Linked DNA regions of Macaca fascicularis. The protein of the gene in region 2 interacts with the protein of the main gene of each other region in a biochemical or structural test. Links are inferred from orthologs where the notes say so. Each region holds a gene or a part of one and is shown on either strand. Other genes may lie near its edges.

What was found.
Region 1: the proteins of GAS6 (region 2) and AXL form a complex in vitro, tested with the Homo sapiens proteins (2 studies listed by BioGRID and IntAct, with this or other methods). The link is inferred for Macaca fascicularis from reciprocal best matches to the Homo sapiens genes GAS6 and AXL.
Region 3: the proteins of GAS6 (region 2) and TYRO3 form a complex in vitro, tested with the Homo sapiens proteins (2 studies listed by BioGRID). The link is inferred for Macaca fascicularis from reciprocal best matches to the Homo sapiens genes GAS6 and TYRO3.

What each region holds. Positions count from the first base shown.
Region 1 is NC_088393.1:48,396,930-48,400,575, reverse strand, and holds part of AXL (tyrosine-protein kinase receptor UFO), read right to left. Parts: intron 1,738-3,646; coding exon 1,386-1,737; 3' UTR 1-1,385. UniProt on the Homo sapiens protein: Receptor tyrosine kinase that transduces signals from the extracellular matrix into the cytoplasm by binding growth factor GAS6 and which is thus regulating many physiological processes including cell survival, cell proliferation, migration and differentiation.
Region 2 is NC_088391.1:104,163,679-104,167,324, forward strand, and holds part of GAS6 (growth arrest-specific protein 6), read right to left. Parts: intron 1,924-3,646; coding exon 1,801-1,923; intron 962-1,800; coding exon 840-961; intron 59-839; exon of another isoform or gene 1-58. UniProt on the Homo sapiens protein: Ligand for tyrosine-protein kinase receptors AXL, TYRO3 and MER whose signaling is implicated in cell growth and survival, cell adhesion and cell migration.
Region 3 is NC_088381.1:18,122,936-18,126,581, reverse strand, and holds part of TYRO3 (tyrosine-protein kinase receptor TYRO3), read right to left. Parts: intron 3,083-3,646; coding exon 2,912-3,082; intron 1,466-2,911; coding exon 1,379-1,465; intron 623-1,378; coding exon 507-622; intron 1-506. UniProt on the Homo sapiens protein: Receptor tyrosine kinase that transduces signals from the extracellular matrix into the cytoplasm by binding to several ligands including TULP1 or GAS6. Regulates many physiological processes including cell survival, migration and differentiation.

The DNA.
Region 1 (3,646 bases), on a different chromosome or scaffold from region 2:
TAGTTAGTCACAACTGAGTGTGAGAGTCTTATAACTTAGATACTTAGGATCCAGAATCTTGGACCAATGGAATCTAAAGTGCCTTGAAACAGAACAAACCATTAGGATCTTATTTAATCGTCTAGAATCTTGGAGCATCTGATCTAGAATCTTAGACACAGAGAATCTAAGATCTTAGAGTAAGTCTTAGACTATCACATCTTAGAACACTGGACCTTAGAAACTCCATCTTTAGACTCTTAAAACTTTTGAATTACAGATTCTAGAGCTTTTGACCCTTAGGATGTAAGATCTTATACAAGAGAATCTGTTATCATAAAGCCTCAGAAACTATAATTGATCATCATTAGAATCTTAGAACTTGAGAAGATAAAATTTTGAAGGCTTATGGTCTAGAGTCTTACAGCCAGAGTATCTAGACTCTCAGAGCCTTAAAACATCATATTTTAGAACACTAGGCCTTAGAACCTCCATGTCTAGAATTAAAGAATCTTTAGAATCTAGAATATTACATTCTAAGGACTCTGAACCCTAGAAAAATAAAAATCTAGAATCATAGAGCCTTAGATCCTAAAATCAGAATCTTAGAGCTTTAAAACCTAAAACCTTGAGGCCTTATCAAAAATATTAGAACCAGAAAATCTAAAACCACAGAATCTCAGAGCCTTACAATAGTAGGTCTTAAGGTTGAGTGCAGTGGCTCACGCCTGTAATCCCAGCACTTTGGGAGGCCGAGGTGGGTGGATCACTTGAGGTCAGGAGTTTTAGACCAGCCTGGCCAGCATGATGAAACCCTGTCTCTACTAAAAATACAAAAATGAGCCAGGTGTGGTGGCGGGTGCCTGTAATCCCGGCTACTTGGGAGGCCGAGGCAGGAAAATCATTTGAACTTGGTAGGTGGAGGTTGCAGTGAGGCAAGATTGCACCACTGCACTCCAGCCTGGGCGACAGAGCGAGACTCTATCTCAAAAAAAAAAAAAAGAAAAAAAAAGTAGGCCTTAAAACCTTAGCATTTTAATGGAGTTAGAGACTTTGGAATTTCAGGTCCTTAGAACCAAAGACTCATAGCATCTTTGAAACCCAGAACCTTTGAATCTAGACTCTTTAAACTTTAGACTCTAGAGTCTTGGAATGTTAATACCTGGGAGGACTTCACATATTGCAATCCAACCCCTTCCTTTTACAGATGGTGATGCTACTGCTTTCAAGGTGATGCTACTGTACAGAGAAGGGGAGGGACCTGTCTGGGATGGAGGTGGGATAGGTAGGAAGATAGGGCTTCAGGTGGGGATAAGGCCTGGGGTGGGAAAGTGGGGAGGTGGAGTTTCCCCCAGTGGCAGTGCCTAGCTTGGATCCTGAGAGGGAGTCCCAGGTGGAGGGTTGTCTCAGGCGCCATCCTCCTGCCCTGGGGCTGCTGGGGAGCCCCTATCAGCAGGCTGAGCGGGGCTAGGGGCTGTGGAAGGGCAGAGGACATAGCGTCCAGCAGGATGGACCTCAGCCGAAGTGAGGCAGCTACAGGAATCCTTAGGGTCTAGCTGGGTTGGGGGGTCAGCTCCTCCAGCAGCGCCGGGAGGTTCAGGATAACCTCCACCTTCATCCATGTTGACATAGAGGATTTCGTCAGGCTCCTGGGCAGGAGGCAAGGCCTTCAGTGTGTTCTCCAAATCTTCCCGCAGCTCTGTAAAACTTGGCCGGTCCTGGGGATTTAGCTCCCAGCACCGCGACATCAAGGCATACCTAGGGCAGCAAAACGAGGGTTGGGAGATTGAGCAGGGACTCAGAAGGGGGGCATTCTGGGAGCCTGGGGACGTTTTAGGACACTCAGGGGACTGGGGGCATTTTAGGGGACTGGAGGGAGCCTCAGCAGTTTGAAGCCATCTATGGGGATTTGGGAATTCCCAAGAGTTTCTGAGTTGGGTCCTGGGAGACTCAGGAGCTGGGAAGGGTCTTGGGAAACCTGGCTGGGTATGGAGTAGTATTCTGATGAGGGTTTGCTAGAACAGACTTTCCCAGCTCACCAGAGCAGACTTGCATCAAAGCCTGGCTATGCCTCTTACAAGCTGTGCTGGTTTAAAATAGATCCATAAATTCTTTGACCCTCCTCCCCGCAAAAGATGGAGAATAAATCGTCTCCTCTTGAGCATGGGCAGGACTTAGTGACTTGCTTCTGATTTGGCAGAAGCAATGGCGTGTGTGACTTCTGAGACTAGGTCATAAAAGGCATGCGGCTTCCTCACACTTTGTCTTGCCACGTTGTGAGTAAGATCAAGCAGTGCCACCAAGGGTTCCACCTGGCAACGAACTGAAGCCTCCTGCCACAGCCATGTGAGTAAGCCACCTTGAAAGCAATCTTCCAGTCCCAAGCTTCAGATGACTGCAGCCCCCAATGATATCTTTGTAACTTCATTAGAGATCCTGAACCAAAATCACTCTGATAAGCTGTTCCCAATATCCAACTTTCAGAAACCATGGGAGATAATAAATGTTTGTTGTTTTAAACTACTCGATGTGGGGATATAGATAATAAACACACCAGCTGTGCAACCTTTGACAAATAAATCGCCCTCCCAGACTGGGCACAGTGACTCACGCCTGTAATCCCAGCACTTTGGGAGGCTGGGGCGGGTGGATGATGACGTAAGGATATCAAGACAATCCTGGCTAATGCAGTGAAATCCCATCTCTACTAAAAATACAAAAAAAAAAAAAATTAGCTGGGCGTGGTGGCACGTGCCTGTAGTCCCAGCTACTTGGGAGGCTGAGGCAAGAGAATCGCTTGAACCTGGGAGGTTGCAGGGAGCCAAGATCAAGCCATTGCACTCCAGCCTGGGCGACAGAGTGAGACGCGAATAAATAAATAAAAATAAATTACCCTCCCTGTAGGACTGGATTTTCTCATCTGCAAAATGGGAATCGTAATGATACCTCTCCACACCATATGGCTGTGGTAAGGACCAAATGATCTAACACATGCCAGGCACCTAAAACAGTGCCTTCTAGTCAGTTCTATAAAAATATTAACTGTTGGCCGGGTACGGTGGCTCAAGCCTGTAATCCCAGCACTTTGGGAGGCCGAGACGGGTGGATCACGAGGTCAGGAGATCGAGATCATCCTGGCTAACATGGTGAAACCCCATCTGTACTAAAAAATACAAAAAACTAGCCGGGCGAGGTGGCAGGCGCCTGTAGTTCCAGCTACTTGGGAGGCTGAGGCAGGAGAATGGTGTAAACCCAGGAGGCGGAGCTTGCAGTGAGCTGAGATCCGGCCACTGCACTCCAGCCTGGGCGACAGAGCAAGACTCCGTCTCAAAAAAAAAAAAAAAGTTAACTGTTATTTTTACTCCTCTCAGCTCTTGGAGTACCCAAGGTGGACTGAGGAGTCTGAAGCCCCAGGCTGTCTCCTCCTGACCCAACCAGGCTCCTCTCTTTACCCTCAAAGTGCTGGCTAAATGTCACGGCCTTCTCTGCATGCTCTAATACTGCAGAGTTTGATAAGCATTCCCTAAAGGATCCTGCAAACATCTCAGAGGAGACCTGAGTCTGCAGAAGGTCAATAAAACAAACTGGAGGGTTTTGCAGAGAGTCCTGGGTGTTGAGGAGCAGGTCGGGGAAGCATGGTGTGCTCAGGAGTCTGGAATGAGAAGTC
Region 2 (3,646 bases):
AAGTATACACTATTATGAAATAAATATGGACGCCTTGAAGATGGCTGTCCTGGAAAGTTCCCTGCTCTGGGCTGTGGTTCCTCCATGCTGCCCTATGGGGGACAGAACCAAGGCCGGTGCGAGCTGGTGTCCCTGGAAAACAGAGGGGCTGGGGCTGGGGCTGAGCCGGCCTGCTCCGCCCACCGTGGGCAGCCAGGGTGAGCTGGACGCCTGGCAGGGGCCCAACGCCCTCTGCACGAGTACACGAGACAGTGAGGCAGAGAACCTCAAGGCAAGGGCTGGCTGGGAGCCCCGAACATCACAGCCCAGACCCAAGAGCCCCACAGCCGCGTCCCAGGTCTGTGACTCTGAGAAGCTGTCCTGGTGGCTGTTTCACCTGTGGAATCCCGTGGTTTTGCTTTTTAAATAAATGCTCACTTTCGCCAACTCCCCAGGCACAGGCCCAGGGTGAACAGGAAACACGAGAGCCGCCCTGCCGGGAAGCGTCCCCATGTGGGTACCACATCCCCCCGGTGTGACAGGTCGGTCAGGCTGGCTCCCTGGCACGTGGCAGTGGGGACCGTGCCCCGTGGGTGTCACACTGGGGTCCACACCAGGCTGGTCCACTGTGAGTTGGGAGTTGCCATAGAGACTTTATAAATATAGAGACTTTATAAATATAACAACCAAACGTCCTCCAGGGAGCAGAAGCGTTTCTCATCCCAACCTCCACGTGGCCCTGGAGATCCCAACACTGCAGCCAAAGCCAGGTCTTCATGGAAGCGTTTCTCCCGAAAGCCCCCACCGGCGAGGGCCCCCAGAACCACCGTGAGAGGCCCGCGGGGCCAGGGGCTGCCTACCTCACAGGTGTCCATGTCCTGGGACAGCTTGAGGCCCCCGCGCCCATCACAGTGGCAGGTGTAGCTGCCCGGGGAGTTCACGCAGACCTGCTCACAGCGGCCCTGCAGACACTCATCCACATCTGCCAGCCAGAGGGAAGTGGCGGTGAGCGGGGGAGGCCTCTACACTGTACGGGGCAGGATCACACCACAACTGCTCAAACCACAAGGTGCACTCGGGGAATTACGTGCAGATTCTAATGGGTGCAGCCTGGGGTTTGTAGGCCCCCATTGGAAAGCTAGGATTGCACCCTCGGCCTGCTCCTGCCAGGCTCTTTCTTGAAGGGAGTGAAAGTGCTACAGGTGTTCCAGGGGGACGCTCCCAATGGGCCAGACCCACTCCCGCCGCCAGGCTGGTGTGGACGGCAGGTCTAGGAAGAACAAGGCCCGGGCTGTGCAGTGAGGTGTCCCCGGGAGCACAGAGGCGCTGACAGCTGTGGTGGGAGATGGAGGTCAGTGCAGGCAGCCTGGGCCTCCCCACCCTCTCTGTCTGCCTACTCAGCCCCTGTTCCCATCACTGGGGGCATGGCCCCTCTTGGAGGCTCTGCGGCCAACAGGGTCCCCCCATGGCGGCTGAAAAGAGAGAACAGTAGAGGGAGGCTTGCTGCTCCCCATACCTTTGGGGAGAGGCCCCATCTACGCAGGTGGAGAAGGGTACGCACGTGTGTACATGCGGTGTATATGCATGTGCACGGTACGTTCGTGTGCACAAGGGGCATGGGTGTGTGCTCACGTGTGTGGGGGCATGGTGGTAGAAGAGGCCATTACCAGGCTCACAGAAACAGGGAAAGAGACTTTCTTTCACCAGAAGCGCCCAGTTGTTAGCAACTGCCCTGGCTCAGGCAGTGACCGGCACCCGTGTCTGGGCTTGGGCGTCAGAGGAGGAGGAGAGAACCCGAGGGTGACCGCGTGGCGTGGGTACCTCGGCAGGCCTTCTCCTGGGAGCTGTATGCAAAGCCCTTGTCACAGAGGCAGGAGTAGGAGCCGGGCAGGTTCTTGCAGCGTGCCTCCCCGCAGGCCTCCGAGTCTGCACACTCGTCTATGTCTGCAAGCAAGACCGGCCAACCTCAGCATGGCAGCATCTCAGACGGGGCCAGGGCAGGTGGCTGTAGGGGCTGGCCAGGGCACCACCCGGACATCACACCCAGGCTCTGTGGGGCCAACGCGCCCTGGCCCCAATTCCCTCCCCTCCTCCCCTGACGGGGCAGCTCCTGGGGTGTTGGGGGCATGCTTCTGATCAAGGCCCGGCTGGGAAGGCTGATTTCAGCCCAGCAGATGGAGAGCTGGGAAGGGCCTTGCTTGGTCCAGGGGTGGGGGGCGGTGGTGCACGCTGTGCTGTTCCATTTAAATGATGGTGCCACAGGATACGGGGCAGTAAAAAGCAACTCCACCAGGGGCATTTGAAACCAAAACCCCCAAAGAGAAGCATTTATAGGTTTCAATCAATTTTCACTACCGGGTTAAACCACAATCCTAAGACTTGAACATCTATGTGGGACAGACACTGTTTATGGCCAAGCACCCTGGGGTACAAGGGGCAACCCTGAAATGAAGACCTTTAGTCACCAGAGGAGAGCAAGGACAGGGGCATGGAGAAAGAGGAGGGGAGAAAGAGGAGGGGGGAAGAGGAGGGGGAGGAGGAGGGGGAGAAGCAGAGAGGAAGAGGAGAAGGTGAGGGAGGGGGAGGGGGAGGAGGGGAGGAGGTAGGGGAGGGGTTGAGAGTGGTGGGGGAGGAAGAGGGGGAATAAGGATGGGGGAGGAGGGGAGGATGGGAGGAGGGGGAGGAGGCAGGGGAAAAAGAGGGGGAATGAGGAGGAAGAGGGAAGGAGAAGGAGGAAGAGGGGGAGAAAAAGGGGGACCAGGGGGAGGAGGAGAAGAAAGAGGAGGAGGAAGATGGGGAGGAGGAGAGGACAGGACGCCTGTCAGTGTGGGCAGTAACTGTGAGCCCAGACTTTGCCCGGAGTGCCCGACTGGTGCAGGGACCCATGTGAGGTGCTTTAGACGTCATCTCTCAGGATTGACCGTGTCTTCACCTCTCTTTAAACCTGGGGTGCTGCTGTCTTCCAGGTCAGGGATAGAGCAGTGATGGGAGGGGCTCTGTCCTCCAGGCAAGAGGAGGAGCTGAACGGGGAAATGGGTTTATGTGTTAAGATGGGAATCACATCATCTGCACAGAGGACTAACTCCTGGGTGGTCAGGGAAGGGAACCATCAAAGTGGACACAAATAGCAGCTGCCTTTTGAAATCGGGGGACAGCGTGTGGCCCCTCCTGTCTGGTCAGATTCACTCTCCAGCTCCTGGGCCTGTTTCTCCCTGAGCAACTGTCTGTCCCATCCACGCAGTCCGGCGTCCTGGACAGCCAGCAGCAGCAGTAAGAACGATGCCAGAAATTCTCAGGGACACGCCTGGGCATGTCCAGATCCAAGGCGGGAGGGAGGAGGAAGGTGCTCCCCCTGCGAAGCCCCAGTGGCAGGAGCAGCGCCCAGGACAGCATCGGGGGTGCGCACATTCACAGTGACTTTCTGGGGTGTCCCGGGGCTCCCCAGCTCTGGCCCTGGGCCGAGGGAACCCCAGACTGAAACACGAAGGGAAATGGGGAGGGCAGGGCTGTATTTAGGGAACAGACAGAGGGAGACCAACAACAGGGTGCTTCTGGGGACGCTGGGGAGAGTGGACGGCAGCGGGGACCCTAGCCTGGAACTCTGACCCACAAGCTCACTGCACAACAGCCTGGAGCACTCCCAGGCTCTGCGAGGCTCTGGGGACGG
Region 3 (3,646 bases), on a different chromosome or scaffold from region 2:
TTTCACCTAAGTAAGAAAAACTTGGCTGGGTGTGCTGGTTCACGCCTGTAATACCAGCATTTGGGAGGCTGAGGCCGGCAGATAGCATGAAGTCAGGCGTTTGAGATCAGCCTGGCTAACATGGTGAACTACTAGTCTCCACTAAAAAAAAAAAAGATTAGCTGGGCATGGTGGTGCACGATTGTAATCCTAGCTACTGGGGAGGCTGAGGCAGGAGAATCACTTGAAAAAAGAAGGAAAGAAAAACCTTCCAGGTACCCCAAATCTGTTCTAGTGATCTGCTTTTCAACCTGAAGAATGCATGAATTTGAGCCAATCTGCAGTCACTTAGTTGCCAGAGCACCCCATGATAAGAGACAGTGGCCTGTGCTCTTCCTGCTAAGGAGCAGCACCTGGAAAGAGCTGCAGACCAAGCCCCTAAGAGCTGACTAGTGAGTGTGATACCCCTGTCAACAAAGTGCTGGCCAGGCAGCCAGAACAAGCATGGCCCAGCCCGGAGAGCCTACCTGAACTGTACAGGACTGTAGCAGGGCTCGGCCATCAGCACCTGGCATCCAGGCCACACTAGCGTTGCTGCTGGAAAGCTTTGTCACGGTGACGTTGAAGGGGGCTGCAGGCAGTGCTGTGGACGGGGACTCAGAATCAGTGCCCAGTAGGAATACGAATGGAGAGAGCAGGAGGCATGGGAGTCAAGCCTTGAGTCTCTCTGAGGGTCCAGGGCATCCCCAACCTAAAGACAGCTACTCAGCACTCCCAGGATCACAGTAGTACACAAATAAGCAACCAGTAGGGCACAGCTGCTCACACCTGGGAGAGCGCCTGGGCTGTGGAGAGAGGTTGCCGCTCCCTGCAATGAAGGACCTGTGTGACTGAGGAATAAGATGAGAGGGTATGTGGGGGCGGCACCTCAGGCTTGGGAGATACAAGGGAGAGACAGGCAGCTGCCCCTGCAGCCACAGCCTGGCTCCTGCAGACACCCTGTCCCTCCCCCTCTCTCTGTGCACCAGCCCTTCGGGTCTCCTCCATCCGGTGCTAGGCTGTTTTCCCCACCCCCATCCCCTCAAAGGGAGGGGCAGAAGCAAGGCTGGGCATGGGCCTTGACCATCTCCTGCTGCTTCCCTCCCTCCTTCCCTCCCTCCCAAGGACTCTGCTTCGTGATGGGAAATCTGCTGTGACGTCAGGATTCTATTCTCATCTCAGCCACGCAGGGTCTCAGGTGCTCCCACTAGGAATGGGAGCTATGCCAATTAACCCCTCGCTCCCTAGATCCCAGCAGGACCACAAGGGGAGCTGGAACACAGAACAATTCTAACTGCAGGACAGCTCGCCGGGAATGCCCCTGGCCTCATCCACCCTTCCTCCCTGCCAGCCCTCCTACCTTGAAGGTGAACAGTGGCTGTGCGAGAAGAGGCCAGGCCTTTTAGGTTGTGAGCTTCACAGGAAAACATGGTGCTCTGGGTCACCCCTGGGGCCAGAAAACCTCAGTCAGCTCCCCAAGCAGCAACCCCTACTCAGTGCATGATTGGGAAAGGGGAATACTCAGGCTCTGGTCGGAACACCCTTAAAGCCCTCCTGCCAAAGGAAGGGGCTGGGCAGTGAGGCACGGTGAAATGAACAGGGACACTGGAGTCTGGTGAGCCTGGAGGGGCTCTGTTTTCTCATCTCTCAAATGGGAGAATTGTGGGAATCAGGTCATGTGTGTCAAGTGCACGAATAAGCCCTTAGGAAACGTTATACCACCCTCCCACCTCCATCCCATCGCCCACACACAGCACGAGTTGCCTCCCTTTTCTGGTCACTCTTTTATTACGCATACCAGAGTGAGCCCTTCTGTTTGCTCTGTGCCCCCTCGGCGTTGTTATTTGCAGACTCTCTGCCTTGCAATAGTTCTCAGCTCTTTATGCACGTGTCTTGTCTCCCCAATTATACTCAGTTCTTTGGCTTCTATTTCCTTTGTATTCCCGCTGTCCCCTGTGGTGCCTAGCACAGTGTGGTGTGGAGTAGGAGTTTAGTGAGTGCTTATTATCAGGCTGCCTGCCTGAGGGTCCCAACCACGCACACCTGGAAGGAAGCGAACCCAGCCTCCTCTCTAATCTGTTCCAACTCCGCGCCTCCTGAAACAGGACCTGCACTTGCTTCCAGAGGTCTCATAGTCCACCTCTTCTCAAGATTCAAACTGCTGGGGAACCCAGCTCAGCGCCCATTTCCCTGGCACCTTCCAGCACATGAGACCAAGCTCAGAGTCCCATTTTTTTGCCCAGTTCAAGCCCCAACCAGAAACAGTATACTTTGTTTCACGAATAAGCAAGTCTTACAAGCATGTGAGGGTATTGCCCAAGAAACTTGGGGCCCAGGTGGGTGTGCAGGTGTGACTGTGCAGACGTATGGACAGACACAGTTGTTTGGGAAAACGTCTGGAGGTTTCCCAGAAAGTGCCATTAGGGGAGGAGGCTTTGTGCTAACCTCCCCTTACCCCTTCTCTCTCCCTCCTCTCCCCTCTCTGCAGCCTGAGAGTCTTGTCTTCTCAGTGTCTGCCAGATACTCCTCCCTAGCTCTGCGTGGGCTGGTTTCTGGCTCCTTCCCTTGGGAGGGGCGGGGGATGGGTGCCCCTGGTCTCACACAATTCATCTCGGAGGGCCAGCTGTGCATGGCCTGGACTGCTGCGAACCAAAGAAGGTGGCCCCACACCCTCCTTAAGCACACACAGCAGGATCGCCACTAATCAGCCCACCCAGCCAGCCTAGCACACCTGACTAATGAGCTTAGTAATGGTGCAGCTCACGTCCCCAGACACTGGGGCTTGCTCTGGACACTCACAACCGCAAGCTCAGTGGCTGAAACTCTGCCAGCTTCAGTGCCCTCCAGGACCCAGCTCCTTCTCCACTCCAAGCCCCCTTCTGAGGCTGCTCACCTGTTACATTTAAAACAGATGGAGAGGGAGCGGGTCCCCCGATCTTCGTAGTTCCTCTCCACCAGACAATGGTAACAGGTTCAGGGGGACCCACAGCCTCGCAAGACAGTTGGAAAGGGGCATTGGGTGGCACTGCCAGATCTTTTGGCTCCACTGTGAAAAATGGCACACCTAGGAGAGAAGGGGAGTGAGGAGTGAGCCTTGCCACCTCTTGGCTTCCTACTGTACAAATCACAAGTGTGTTTACATCTGAAGTCCTCCACGCAGAAGGTTCCCACAGGCCCCTAACGATTAGGTCAACAGCAGAACAGGCGTCTAGCTTGAGAGGTGGGCGGTGCCCTTCTTTTTCAGGCTCCTTAGGAATTTTTTTTTTTTTTGAGATTGGTGGTCGGGAGGTCCCTCTATGTTGCCCAGGCTGGCTTGGAACTCCTGGGGGCTCAAGTGATCCTCTCGCCTTAGCCTCCAGGGTAGCTGGGACTACAGGCGCACACCACCATGCCTGGCACCTTAGACACATCTTTCATGCTGCCCCCTTAGGCATGGCAGATTTGGACAGCTCTTCTTGCAGTAAGAGGAGACTGGGGGTGGAGAGCTGGGGGAGGGGCATAAAACTCAGGGGAGTGGGTGGGAGCTTTAGCAGAGTTCTGCTGCCAGGCCCCAGCTCCCATTCAGAGCCCTTTGTTACTTTCTTAGTCACTTTGTTTTCCTGGGCTGAACAGCTCTGAGCTCCCGCAG